Arabidopsis thaliana: one gene and its partner. The protein of the gene in region 2 interacts with the protein of the main gene of each other region in a pairwise test. Each region holds a gene or a part of one and is shown on either strand. Other genes may lie near its edges.

Region 1 (7,111 bases), 9.8 Mb from region 2:
ATATTGCAAAGTGTTCATCGATTGTTGAAGATTTATTATTTATTTTATTTTATATATTTTTTTAAAAAAAACATTTTTCTTTTTGTCATCTATTTTTAAGGGGAATTGTTATAAAAATGTACATTTTCATATGCGTCGTAAGAAATTTGAAATGGAAACAAAACTGAATGAGAATAAGATAATAGTGTGGTGGCTTAAATTAATTGTGTGATGGAAGCGTACCAACGAAACGATCGAATATTAATGATAACGGAAAATTCAAATTAGTGTGTGAGGCTGCGACCAGTGTCCGTCCATAAAATTCAATGCAAGATATAAATGTAACAACCCCAATATCAAAATAGTCGACTAATTCTTACCAAAAAAAAACAATTAGCGAATAATTAGAATTATCATACAGTGCTAAAAATATGTATATATATATATACGAGATACAAATATTTAAGTATATATTGTCAAAGTGCAAATTTTAGTGATTTATTAATGAAAAATACACAATAGACTGGATAATTGTAGAAGTGGGATATATTATACACACTACAATAAAAATCTCTTATGTGACTCGAATCCTATAACTCTTCTCATGTGAAGCAAGAGATATTAGACCATCCTTAATTCCTTATATGTAAGCTTATTGTATATGCAACAAGCCTAATGAAGGCCATGTCATGAGCTATCTTCTTATTTATCTATCTTATTAGAGCATGAATAAACTTGTTTGTATAGGATTTCTACTCACACAAGAGACTTGTGAATATGTATTTTTAAAGAGGTTAATTAACAGTATTTGATATTTCTATGATCTCATAGCTATGAATATGATGATTCAAAGAACGTGAACAAAAGATATCTGTAACAAAAAGAAAAGGACAAAGATATGTCAAATTGAAATGCTCCACTCGTTTTAATGTCCGTGAATGAAAATAACAAACTTGACATATATTGAAAATCTTGATTTGTACTATTGGAAATGTGGGGCATCAAAGACTATTATTCCCTAAAAATAATGGTCCTTAATTCATTAGAATTTTGGACAAAAAGCTTTGCTTAATTCTGTACCATTTTGCTTCGAATGAATATGCTCATACTATTTGTTATCCTTTGGATCCACACCAATTCATTAAATTGCAATTATTTGTCACTTTGACAAGTACTATACCTACATACTGAGAAAATCATCATCACCATAATTGTAAAGTTAATCACGTTAATTATATGCTAGCTAGTCTATAATTAAAGATTCAAACACTATATTTTTTTGGTACAACAAAAACTCTATATTGAACATGAACGCACAATGCTTCGATATTTCTTTCTCTATCTTTAGTAACAAATAAAAACACAACAACAATCGAGACAAGCAGAAACCTACGTTGTCTTCCGTGTTTAATTGGGCCTAAGATTATATTCATAATATACCTTACATATTGAGCCCATAGTTTACAATAATGGGCTTTGTTATGTAAATGGGTCGTAAAAGTCCAACTTTCTGAAATATCATTAATAAGTTTTGCTATTAAGATCTTCGTTAAGAGTTAATACAAGTAACAAGCATTAATTTCTTTCTTAATGAATTCATGTGTTCATTATATCATCCGTATAAATCTTTTGATCTGCATATCTCTCCGTTTAATTGATATCTTTCCGTTTCTCGCTTCTTTTTCTCCGCCGGCGTCCTTCCATTTCGCCGGCTGCTATCGAACCCTAACCCGCGACGACTCCACCGTCTCCGGCGTCTTCTTCTTCCGGCGAAACCGGTAACCGTATCTTTTGTTTCTATGTATGTACTCCATGATTTCGTGAAGCTCTGCTTTCTAATGCTTTAGTCGCCATCACTGTTTGAATTATAGCGAATCAGTGAGAGAGTAGGACTCAGAGTTTTGATGCGTTCCAATTCTCGATTACATGCGTCTTGCATTCTCTCTGGAATTATCAATAGTGCGTTTCTATTTATGATTTCTGGATTTTGAATTCTGCGTTGTTGTTGTGATGCTATGTCTCAGAGAATTAGCTTCATGATGGCGGATACTGAAATGCAAGAGCAAGATGTGCCGTCTGGTACCAAAGGTGTTGTAGAGGAGCCTTCAGAACTAGAGAAAGACCTAAACTCTATTGAAAGACCTAAGTCCCCTGTTCCAGAGGATACGACTCATACTTTGGATAGTGATGTTCATTTATCTGATGCTCCCATTGCTAATCAAATTGAGGCTAATGAAGAGGTTGGTGGTCAGAACAGTGTTGATGGGAGGAATGGTGATGTTGATCAGTCTGAAAAGAAGATTACTAGTGATGGCGGTCAAGAGGAGACAACACTTGGGGAATCAAATCCTTTGAAGGGGGATCCGTCGAGTCCTCATGTTCCTGAAGAAAGTGTTAAGAAGTGGAAGACATGGTTGTTGAGTGATGCTGAGGTGATGAGAGCACTTTTCTGTCACATTTCAGACAACTAGTCTGCCTGCATTTGCGTTAAGCGTTGAATATTGTTTTTTGTGAGATCTGTGGTCATCACAGTGGCTCTATTTCATCACGAGTTCACGTTTTTATACAGGCCAGGGAAGTTGATGAAGCAGGGGCACCACAGGATCAAGAGGCGTTTATTAAAGAAGTGGAGGCCTTCAACAAGGAGAATTTCCTGGAATTTAAAGCCCCAAAGTTTTACGGACAGCCCTTAAATTGTCTCAAGTGAGTTGTTGGAAGTGTTGCTTTAATTCTTGGAAAATTCCATACTTTTGGTTATGCCTTGTTTGACGTGATAACGTCTGCATGCTTTACTTTGAAATGTAGGCTTTGGAGAGCCGTTATCAAGTTAGGTGGCTACGATGTGGTAATGATCTACTTTCGAACTTCCAATGATTTTATGTTTACTAAGATCTTCTCCTCCCTCTTCCCCTTTAGGAGGTTAAAAATCTTTTAGATTATTATCTACAGGTCATGCGATTTATACGTTTTGGGTTGTATAACGTGTGAACTATAGCTAATGAATGAGAAGATGATTTAAGAACAAGGAATGGCTTCCGGAAATAATTAAGTCAATGCAGTTATGTGTTAATTATGTTAGGTCTGTGTTTTGGCAACTGAACTTGCTTAGTGTCATCTACTCTGTTTGAAAGTTTATACTCAAATCTATCCCACCGCCCACGTTGCTTGAAACTCTATGTCTGTGGTATTCAAAATTCCTATGATTTTCATTTTCTTATATAGGTCACCACATCTAAGCTATGGCGGCAAGTTGGAGAATCGTTCCATCCTCCAAAGTATGGCTTGTATTGTCCTCAATCTTCAACCTTTTCCGCTTTCTTGTATGAAATTGACTTTCCACATTTTTGTTATTCAGAACATGCACTACAGTCTCCTGGACATTCCGCATTTTCTATGAAAAGGTGAATTTCATTTTTGGTCTAAGTACTGAATATGCATTGATATTAATGAGGTTGTACTTGTTCAGTTTAGTTCATACATGTTCGATTCAGACAATGTTCTTTTGCTCCTTTTGTCAGTAGTGTGTCTGAGACTAGCTGGTTTCGTTATCATTTATGTCGTGGTTTAGTAGCCTTCTAACAGTTTATTTGGATTGACTCCTTCCTAACATGGAGTCTGGTTGATTTCTATCCTATCAAGATGTGGAAATTTCATTATTTGTATCCTTATTTCCAACCGCAGGCACTTTTGGAGTATGAGAAGCATTTAAGGCAAAATGGTGAGCTTAACCTTCCTGGTTCAGCTTCTCTTCCGTCTTCAGGCATTGAAAAGGAGGTTAGAATTCCTATGAAATTGTGTAATTCTTATGCTTTTGGGTAGGTGAACACTTTGAGAGGAGGTCAATTTAAGAGTAGGTAAACCATGTTGTTAAATTAGATAAAGTGAAAGCTCTGCAGTTCTTTATAAAATCATTTTATACAGATGGAAATTTCGGGCATGAGTAATATCAGCTTAACATGTTGAATACTACTCTCTGCAATCTGATTGAATAAAGCTGTACCGTTTTGTGTTATATGGGAAACATAAGAAATAATATGTACACAACACAGCTAATTACCAATTTAAGCTCCCTAAAACAGAATTTTAAACTTTATATGCCTTCCCTTTTTCTCTCATTGATATAAGGGCACTTATGTAGGCAAGTAGCCATCAAGCTTCAGGGTCAGGCAGAACAAGAAGAGATGCTGCAGCTCGTGCTATGCAAGGTTGGCATTCTCAGCGCCTTCTTGGATCTGGGGAGGTTACTGAGCCTATTGTTAAGGTTTCTATTTAGACCTTACCACGTTTCATAATTCACCATGCACAAACTTACGCTTCAACATGATTCTGTTTGTACATATATTTTCAGGAGAAAGGCTTGAATTCAACCCCAAAGCAAAAGAACCTCAAAAACATTGGTAATATTCCTAAGCGATGGCTATTGTTCTCCACTACCTACAGAATGATTACCTAATGCCACCGTGTATAAATGTTCTTTTCAGGTGTGCAGAAACAAAAAACAACAACCGGCATGGACCTTGTTTTTTCACACGAATCAGAAAAACAGTTACGAAAGATAATCATCTCCTGTATTTTTGTGTTGCTTATGCAAGATTGCTTTACCATGTGCAATTCCATACAATCTTATCCATCGAAAAACCCTGCATTGTCAATGTTTGGTAGATCACAAGCACTGTTTTCTGGGTGGTAGTTGTAAGAACTGCCATTTCAGAAATAGCGCAGGAGATTAAATGAATACAGAGAATTTTGTAACTTGTCTTTTCATTTCGTTTATTATAATCAGAGCAAAAGATTGATAATATGGTTTTGGCTTGATAGGTCAACTGCCGAGGTTATAGATGTTGGACCCCCTGCAGACTGGGTGAAGATCAATGTCAGAGAAACTGTGAGTACCACTTCCGCTTCCCCCCTCATATAATGCAACGCTTACCCAACTCTTGAAACTAGAGACATGAGAAAGAAAAAAAGTCAAAAACAACACTGCCTGAAGAAAGGGAAATAACTGCAATCTGGGTTTTTGTTTTGAATCTGAAATCTTACCAAATTTATTTTTGTTGTCTTTATTTACAGAAAGACTGCTTTGAGATATTTGCCCTGGTACCTGGACTTCTTCGCGAAGAGGTGAGCTTTTCTCCTTGGAATTCAATCTCTAAAGCTTCTTTGATCAGTGTTTTGTCACTGGAGTGTTACTGATTCCTACGACATAGATGTGAACATATACTGGATTCGAATCTAAATACACACACTGTTGTCCGTTGTAATGAATTTCATAGTAATTTTTTGTGTGATTGCACACAGAATCTAGTTCCTCAATATAAGTTGATTTCTTCTTTCAGGTCCGTGTTCAGTCAGACCCTGCAGGGCGGCTAGTTATAGCAGGCCAACCTGAGCAACTTGACAATCCTTGGGGAATCACACCCTTCAAAAAGGTTAGATTCTAACACTCCAAACAGAGCCCTAGTTGCTAATTGAAGGATAGTTGTCAATTGTTTTCCGATTTTGGTTATGGTAGGTTGTGAACTTTCCCGCAAGAATCGATCCGCTGCACACGTCAGCGGTTGTGAGCCTGCATGGTCGACTGTTTGTGCGAGTCCCATTTGAGCAGTGACCGGTCTCATCCCAAGTGAGCTAGTTCTTTATTTGTCTCTTTGTTTTCTTTTAGGAATTCGTTTGTATCAGAACTAAAAACAAACGATAGCAAATGTGATAGTTTGACTGTGACTTGAGTTCTGAATATTAAAGTAGAGAAATGAATATTGATGTTCCATATAAAGTTAGTAAGGAAGCTGTTCCTTATACCTTCAAGTATGCAACCAACAATCACAGTGTCTGGTATATATCTTTTAGAAAATGAAGTTTTCATCTGTTTTCTCTGTTTATTTCAGTTTCAGGTTTCACATAAAGAAAACTTACAATTTATAGTTCAATCAAGTTAAATGGCTCCTATTGTAGGAGAGTACTGAAGTTTTATGGGCTGGAAGCTTTTGGGTTGAGTTAAATGGCCTGAAAATTAGGCCTTAGATGTGTCGTGTTGCTTTCGTGATCCACAATTGCATTCATATATATATATATATATATGATGAGGAAAGTCAAGAAAATTTTTTTTGAAGAAAAAAACTAAACATATTATTGCAACTTCCAATTTGCATTAGACCCAATATTATATATTTACATCTAACACGTTTTGTGATTTTTAGATATTCATGCTTATCTATTTTCTGTTGACATCAGACAAAAATTAGCAAAACATTCTATTGTAATAGTTAATAATATGTGACTATACTACTATAGTATACAATTTTTGTTTAAGTTCTCTCTTTTTACAACCGTGAGATTCTTGGTCGAATTCATACCAATCTTCAGAATTTATGAAAAAGTATGATATTATTTTCATGTAAAACAATTACAATAACAAATCATACTTAAAAATGTTGTAGTTCGAACCATGATCCTTTAAGTAACATATGTTCTTCAAGCTCTATGGCCCACACAATAGTGTAGACCTTCTTCTTTTTTGGGTGTAAAATAGTTAGTAGTCTAGATAGTGTAGAACATATGTTACTTAAAGGATCTATATATCTATCCAATCATAATTCGTATATATAGGGAAACCTTCACATTTACGTTTACTTATCAGCCGTTCGTATAAAACACACAATGAACAAGATTTCTTAACCCAATCGTTGCTCAACTGCATGTAAGGCACTTGACATGAGCACATGGATATCTTAAAAAGATAAAGTCACAGTGCATGTATCGAAAAGGTCTCAAAGTACATTACCCTTTATTCTCTTTACATGGTTGAAGCCCTAAAATGTCAAATATATGAAAATTATGAAAATAAGAGGTTTTTAAACCATCTCTCATTCTCATTGTATAACAGTAAACATGATGAGACTCCATTTCTTATATACATAAATGTCACCTGTCTTCTCTTAGAAGCTCATTGAAGATATTTCACCACAAATCTCCTTTGGACATGCATTGGTCATGTACAAGCTTTTCCTTTCACTTGATTTTCTTTTTAAATATACGTTTTCATACGGTCCATACATAGTTTCCCTAGGGACTTGATGCATTCCTCATTTTCACACATCTTTGTACTTAAAGCCCCACTTGGCTGTGTTGTTAT
Region 2 (5,703 bases):
CACGTGTCACTCCCACAACTTAGTGCACCTTCACATGACTGCCTAAAAAGAGCAAAGAAAGAAACAACAAAGACATGGTCCCCAACAATAATCAATGTTGGCAAGATTTTGCCCATCTTTTTTGTTTGGACAAGACTTAAGGACTGTGATGTATATGCTTCGTAGGGTCGATTCATAACATCAAATTAAAAGAAATATTATAGATTTTGTTTCGTTCAAAAACTTTAAGTTTTAATATGTAAACATTTTTAATAATGATAAATTTAATTCTAAAATATAGAGAATATTCCTTGATTTTATACAGATTATCATATGAACAATAGGAACGAAGAAAACGGATAAAGTGGAGCGAATATGTGTGTTCACATAGAACGTCTTAAATGTAGTTTTGGATTCAGCTCTATAACAAAGAAGAATGAGTAAGAAAAAAAAATTTGAAGTTAATGTATGATTCAAGCTTTAATGATTCATTCCAAATATCATGATTGACCATTATGAATGTTTTTAAATTGTAACTTGTAAGATACCATTTTTCCACATGTCAAGGAGATCAACCATTGTAAATAATTTAAATAGTAAAAAATATGACTACCACATCTTCCACAGATCTTGGAGACTACTAAACTTCGATTTTGGATACTTAGATGAAGAAAAAATGAATACAAAAAGTTTAATAACAAACTCTTGAATCGTCGTATCATGTTTCGAGCACCTACTTGATTATCTAAGATAAAAGTTTGTGGATTTATGAAATTATCTTTAAGCTAGCAACTTATCTTAGTTAGTTGGTCTTTTTTACCATTATAGTCATATGTTCAAGATTTATGAAATTGTTGATGATTCTAAGTTTCTAACAAAAGAAAATAAACTAATTACCTGAATTATTCTTGAGTTACAATAAAATAAGCTTCTCATTGTACATCACTTCTCTTCTGCTTTTCTTTTTTTTGGATGTAAGAACATACAATAGCATTGGAGTTCGGACCATTACACAACCTTGCTACTTTCTTCCCTACCAAAAAAAGGTTCCAACTTTACAAAAACCCTTTTCACCACCACCACCAAATTTAGCTTTGTTCATGATCTCTTCTCTACTTTGCTATCTTCGACTTTTCTCCAAAGGCCGAACCGATACTTCTATGCACAACTCCCTCCCTGGCTAGCACTCGCGCATACTCCCACTTCTAGTTTCACGCACTAGAGCATCTACATCTTGCCCGACTCTCTTCGAGCGCCTGACCAAAAATAAAAGTATTCAGTTTCTTACAGAGTGAACAAAGGGATTCAAGAGTGATTAGTATGCAACACTAGTGAGATCATTACCTTCACTTGTTCTTGCAGGTCCTTGATGTATTGAACCGCAAGATCCAACATGTCTGCTGTGTTTGTTTGCTGCATATCAATTGAAGATGATAAATACATTGAGCAAAGAACATGAAAGTACGAATATGAGAGAGGAAGATCGCATAATCTAACCGTGTCCATGTTTGGAACAAGGTCTTGCAGCTTCCTCATTCTTTCACTGATCTTGGTTCTTCTCACCTGTTCCACAACATTTTGGAAACATATATAATCGTTGGAGAAACTGATATTATATCATCATGGAATCAATGCCACTGAGAGCATAATAGTAAGGGGAAAGATTTACCCTCTCGGCTATGCTTCGAGGATGAGTTGCACAACCCCGCTTGGCTCTGATCTTACATGGGATAGAATCTGACAGTAACTGTTCAATATCTGATAAAGACTTGGGCAAACTCATGTGATGTGCCAAAGGAGGACGTCTACTTGCTGAATCCTCATCCTGTTAAATTGAATTTCTTTAGTACAATCAATCAAACAAGAACAATAGCAGAATGAATTTTCAACCGCAAGAAGTTGGTTTCAATGGCAAAACGTCTCTCATTATAAGTTCATACCTTGGTTTTGTATTGATCTAGACCTCCAGATTGGGTCCTAGCAAGAGCTGTAAGCTTGGAAGAAGCAGACCCTTCATTCCCAAAAGAACGATTAAACCCACCGGAAAGCGTCCGAGGAGGCAATCTAGACGAGAAACCGGGTTTAACATCAACCTCAGAGATCGGACTCATCGCTCTAGAAGTAGGAGGAAGTAACTTGCTTCTAGGAGTAAGAGACGAAGCTTCAGTATTGCTTGTACTCATCACATTACTTCCTCCAAAACCTCCCATACTTTTCATTACAGCTGCATAAGCTGCAAAATTTCCAAGAAAAAACAGAACAAAAGATTCAAAAAGACTTCACTTTTCATTCATCACCAAATTTAGTGATTAACAAAGTACTAGTTGCAGATAATATCTGTAATAAATAGCAAATCAATAGAATCCAATCTACAGAGACCAAAACAAGCAAGTTGCTTTAAAATCATTATAGTCCTATCAAAATCCTAAGTATATTCTCATAAAAGTTACCAGAAAAAGTTTCCAGATTAGGAAATAATTTCTAATTAAAACTAGAAAGAAAAGAGTCAAACCTGTTTCAACATCAATGGATGAAAATAATCCGGCCGGTGAACTATTATGACGAGCTAGATTATTCACCGGAGTCCGATCATCTTTCTCTCTTGGTCTCTTATTCCTCGAAACCGAAGCCACATACCCAATCGATACTTCAGGATTCACTGAGATTTCACCATCACCGGAAACAACAACCTCCATCGCCGTCGCCGTCGCAGTCACCGGAATTTCAGCATCTTCGTCCTCTGTTTTAACTTCCGGAGGTTTCTTCTCAGTTCCATCACTGTTAAAAGTATGGTGAAGGAAACTATCAACGTTGTCGCTTGTGTCGGTGGTTTGTAAAAAGCCAGATAAGATTCGCTCAGTTTCAGGACTTGTGGGTCGATCTAAAAACTCTTCGATTGATTCACCGAAACTCGAAAAGTACGAACTTGGTGCTGATTGGTAACGAATCAATCCTGAGTTTCTTGGTCTCTGGTGTTGATGATCGTGGAGAAGGAAGTGATGTTGCTGGAATTCTGATTCCATCTTAGTAGCTTTTGAGTTTCTCTCTTCTTTGGTTATTTTTTTCTCCGTTTGCAGTACCACACCGGAAGTTTCGTTCGCCGGGAGATGAGATTGTTTCCGGCGAGAAATTAAAATTAAAAAAGAGAACGTGAGAGAAACTTATGTGCAAGAGAGAAGAGGAGAGGAAGAAACAACAGAGGGCAGGTAGAGATTGGGATTTATTTGTGATTTGACTAAAATACCCTTTATGGTGTCTTCTTATTACGAGTGGAACCCTTGATGCTGACACGTGTAGGCCACGTGGGGACCACGTTAACATTTTTATAATGTTATGTAACAGTGAAAAATAAATATTGTTTTCGAGAAAAATATTTTGATGTCAATTTTTTTTTTTTCGATGTGATTATTATTTTTTGTAAATTTGGTATACTTCCAATCAGTGTGGCTATTAAATGATTTTTCTCGTTTTTCAAAGAAAAATATCAGCAGCTTTTTTTTAATGTTTTTTGGACTTTATCTTATTTTTAATTTTAATAAATGAATTTTAAAATCAGCAATTATTGAAATGATTCAGAACTTTTAATAAAATAAAACGACGACTATATATAATTGTGGGAATTAAAGCTGTTGACTTATAAAGCAATAAAAATGGCTGAGAAAAAGGACATATGTCGATATGACGTATATTGAAATGACGGATAACTTAAAAAGAAAAACAAACTATAATATTTATTAATAAATTATAAAAAAATAAATAAAATCCAAAAATATAAAAAGAAGAATAAAATGAAATGAAAATAGTTGGAGGATCAGACAGGTGTTGTTGATATGGCAGTCTAGGGCTCCAAATTTTAGGGAACCTTTCAAGCGACTTAATCCAACTATTCACGTTTAAACACGTATGTACCTCCGCATAAAATATAGGACACGTATTGTACTTACGTTTTTGTATAATACTAGTACTTGTTTAAAGTTTAAAGACCAAGTGCTATTTAATCTACAAAATACTGTACATAACAACAACTACTAATACATATCCGAATTCAAATTTCATTATCCACTTCAATTAATATGTCGTATTTGCGTGTTTGATTTGGAAAAACACTTGAGAGTCGAATAGTATTGAACTTTCTTGCTATTCGATGAAATACAAACTGGTTAATAGAAAAAAGATAAATACTTATATAAATATGTGTAGAAAAAATCAGAAATGTGAATATATATGACATGGTAGTGCAATGTAACTTCTTGATTCATCAAAAGTGGACCTTAAAATCAAAGGGGAAAAAAATGTGACCCTAAGCTGCCGCTTATGTGGCTTATGCGGAAGGCCGGCCATGACCAAACCGAATTCAAATCGATAAAGTGCTTATATTCATGTTAAGGGACATAATCAGAGTCGGGCCATAGTTACAATCCATGAAACAAGAGTTTTACACGGCAAATTAATATGACTACATGAGTAATTTTTTTAATCACATATTAATTGAAAAATAATTTTATAATTGGTTGCCCAATTAAGAAGAAAAATATTGTATGAGTAATTTGAGCGTCATTTTAACTAAACGTTATTGTAGTGTAGTAAGAGATTCAATTCCAACCAATGAATTATTTTAATTTTTTTAACAGTTTGTGTTAGTGGATCAAAAAACAAAATATTTATGCAGCAAAATAGTTTGATACCGATTAATGCCTTGGGCGTTAATTATACTTAAAAATATCAAACGCTTGTAATCTATCTGTACTTCAGTTTTAAAAAATTGGTGATATCCTCAAGAAAAAAACAAATTTTGGATTTCTTTCACAAACTAATTAATGAATTCAGGAAGCTGTTATATAGTATTTTTAAAATCCTAAATCAGCAATGAATTTAGCAACTTTTATATTTTTAGATCTGGGTTGTTAACATAGAATAGAAACTGCAGAGCAAAAGCTAAATATAAATTCTAATCGTTTTCTATATTTTGTTTGTAAGGAAACATTTTGGTGTCAAGAAAGTACTCGTTACTTTGGAACAAAGAAAACAATACCCATAAATATAAGATAAGGTTTGAGAATGTGAGAATCGAGGTGGAATACAACAGAAGAAGCACAATCTCACGTGGAACTTAGGCGTGAAGATCCTCTTCCTAGAAATAGTAAGCCACCAATTTAGAATCTTTCTCACTTTCTTATTGTTTATAAAAAAAATGTCTTCAAAAAGTCTTTTTGGTTTTAGCTTTTTTCAGCACATTTAGTCCCTTTTTCTTGAAATCTTAGTATGCATTGATTAATCTATATATGGTTTTAAAATAACAGTTTCAGTTTCATTGAACTATATTCAGGTCAATATCTAGTGTAGTTACAATTGATTAGAAAAGTGCATGCATAATTTTGTTTTAAAAACTTATAATTCAATGAACACATATAATGTACATTCATTTCGACCAAAGTAATAAACTCACTAAACCAACTGAAATGTTAATGAGCTTAGGCTTACTACTTTGTTCTTAACTTAAATATCGAAACCCATTAGCATTATGGGCCTTAATAAGATTCATGGCCCAATGATCTTTTTGCTTCATCTTCTGCTTTCTTCTACGACAACCTAACTCATCCACTTCTTCTCCTTTCACAACTCTTCTTCTCTTCTTTACCCCTATAAATTTTACATATTAGTTTATTTTTAATGTAAATTTGATTGAATTTGAAAAAATACTTGGTTAAAATTAGGGTTTGACCC

Evidence for each region. The genes of interacting proteins can lie anywhere in the genome.
Region 1: the proteins of FBH3 (region 2) and AT1G76510 interact in a two-hybrid assay, tested with the Arabidopsis thaliana proteins (one large-scale study listed by BioGRID).

The regions. Positions count from the first base shown.
Region 1 is NC_003070.9:28,707,403-28,714,513, reverse strand, and holds AT1G76510 (ARID/BRIGHT DNA-binding domain-containing protein), read left to right. Parts: upstream 1-1,565; 5' UTR 1,566-1,780; intron 1,781-2,003; 5' UTR 2,004-2,015; coding exon 2,016-2,411; intron 2,412-2,548; coding exon 2,549-2,682; intron 2,683-2,784; coding exon 2,785-2,824; intron 2,825-3,201; coding exon 3,202-3,254; intron 3,255-3,334; coding exon 3,335-3,449; intron 3,450-3,660; coding exon 3,661-3,753; intron 3,754-4,117; coding exon 4,118-4,240; intron 4,241-4,327; coding exon 4,328-4,376; intron 4,377-4,460; coding exon 4,461-4,524; intron 4,525-4,797; coding exon 4,798-4,864; intron 4,865-5,049; coding exon 5,050-5,100; intron 5,101-5,315; coding exon 5,316-5,408; intron 5,409-5,491; coding exon 5,492-5,583; coding exon of another isoform or gene 5,584-5,587; exon of another isoform or gene 5,588-5,721; coding exon 5,722-5,833; 3' UTR 5,834-6,175; downstream 6,176-7,111.
Region 2 is NC_003070.9:18,942,612-18,948,314, forward strand, and holds FBH3 (basic helix-loop-helix (bHLH) DNA-binding superfamily protein), read right to left. Parts: upstream 3,202-5,703; 5' UTR 3,003-3,201; coding exon 2,492-3,002; intron 2,213-2,491; coding exon 1,920-2,212; intron 1,805-1,919; coding exon 1,649-1,804; intron 1,543-1,648; coding exon 1,477-1,542; intron 1,393-1,476; coding exon 1,324-1,392; intron 1,236-1,323; coding exon 1,191-1,235; 3' UTR 836-1,190; downstream 1-835.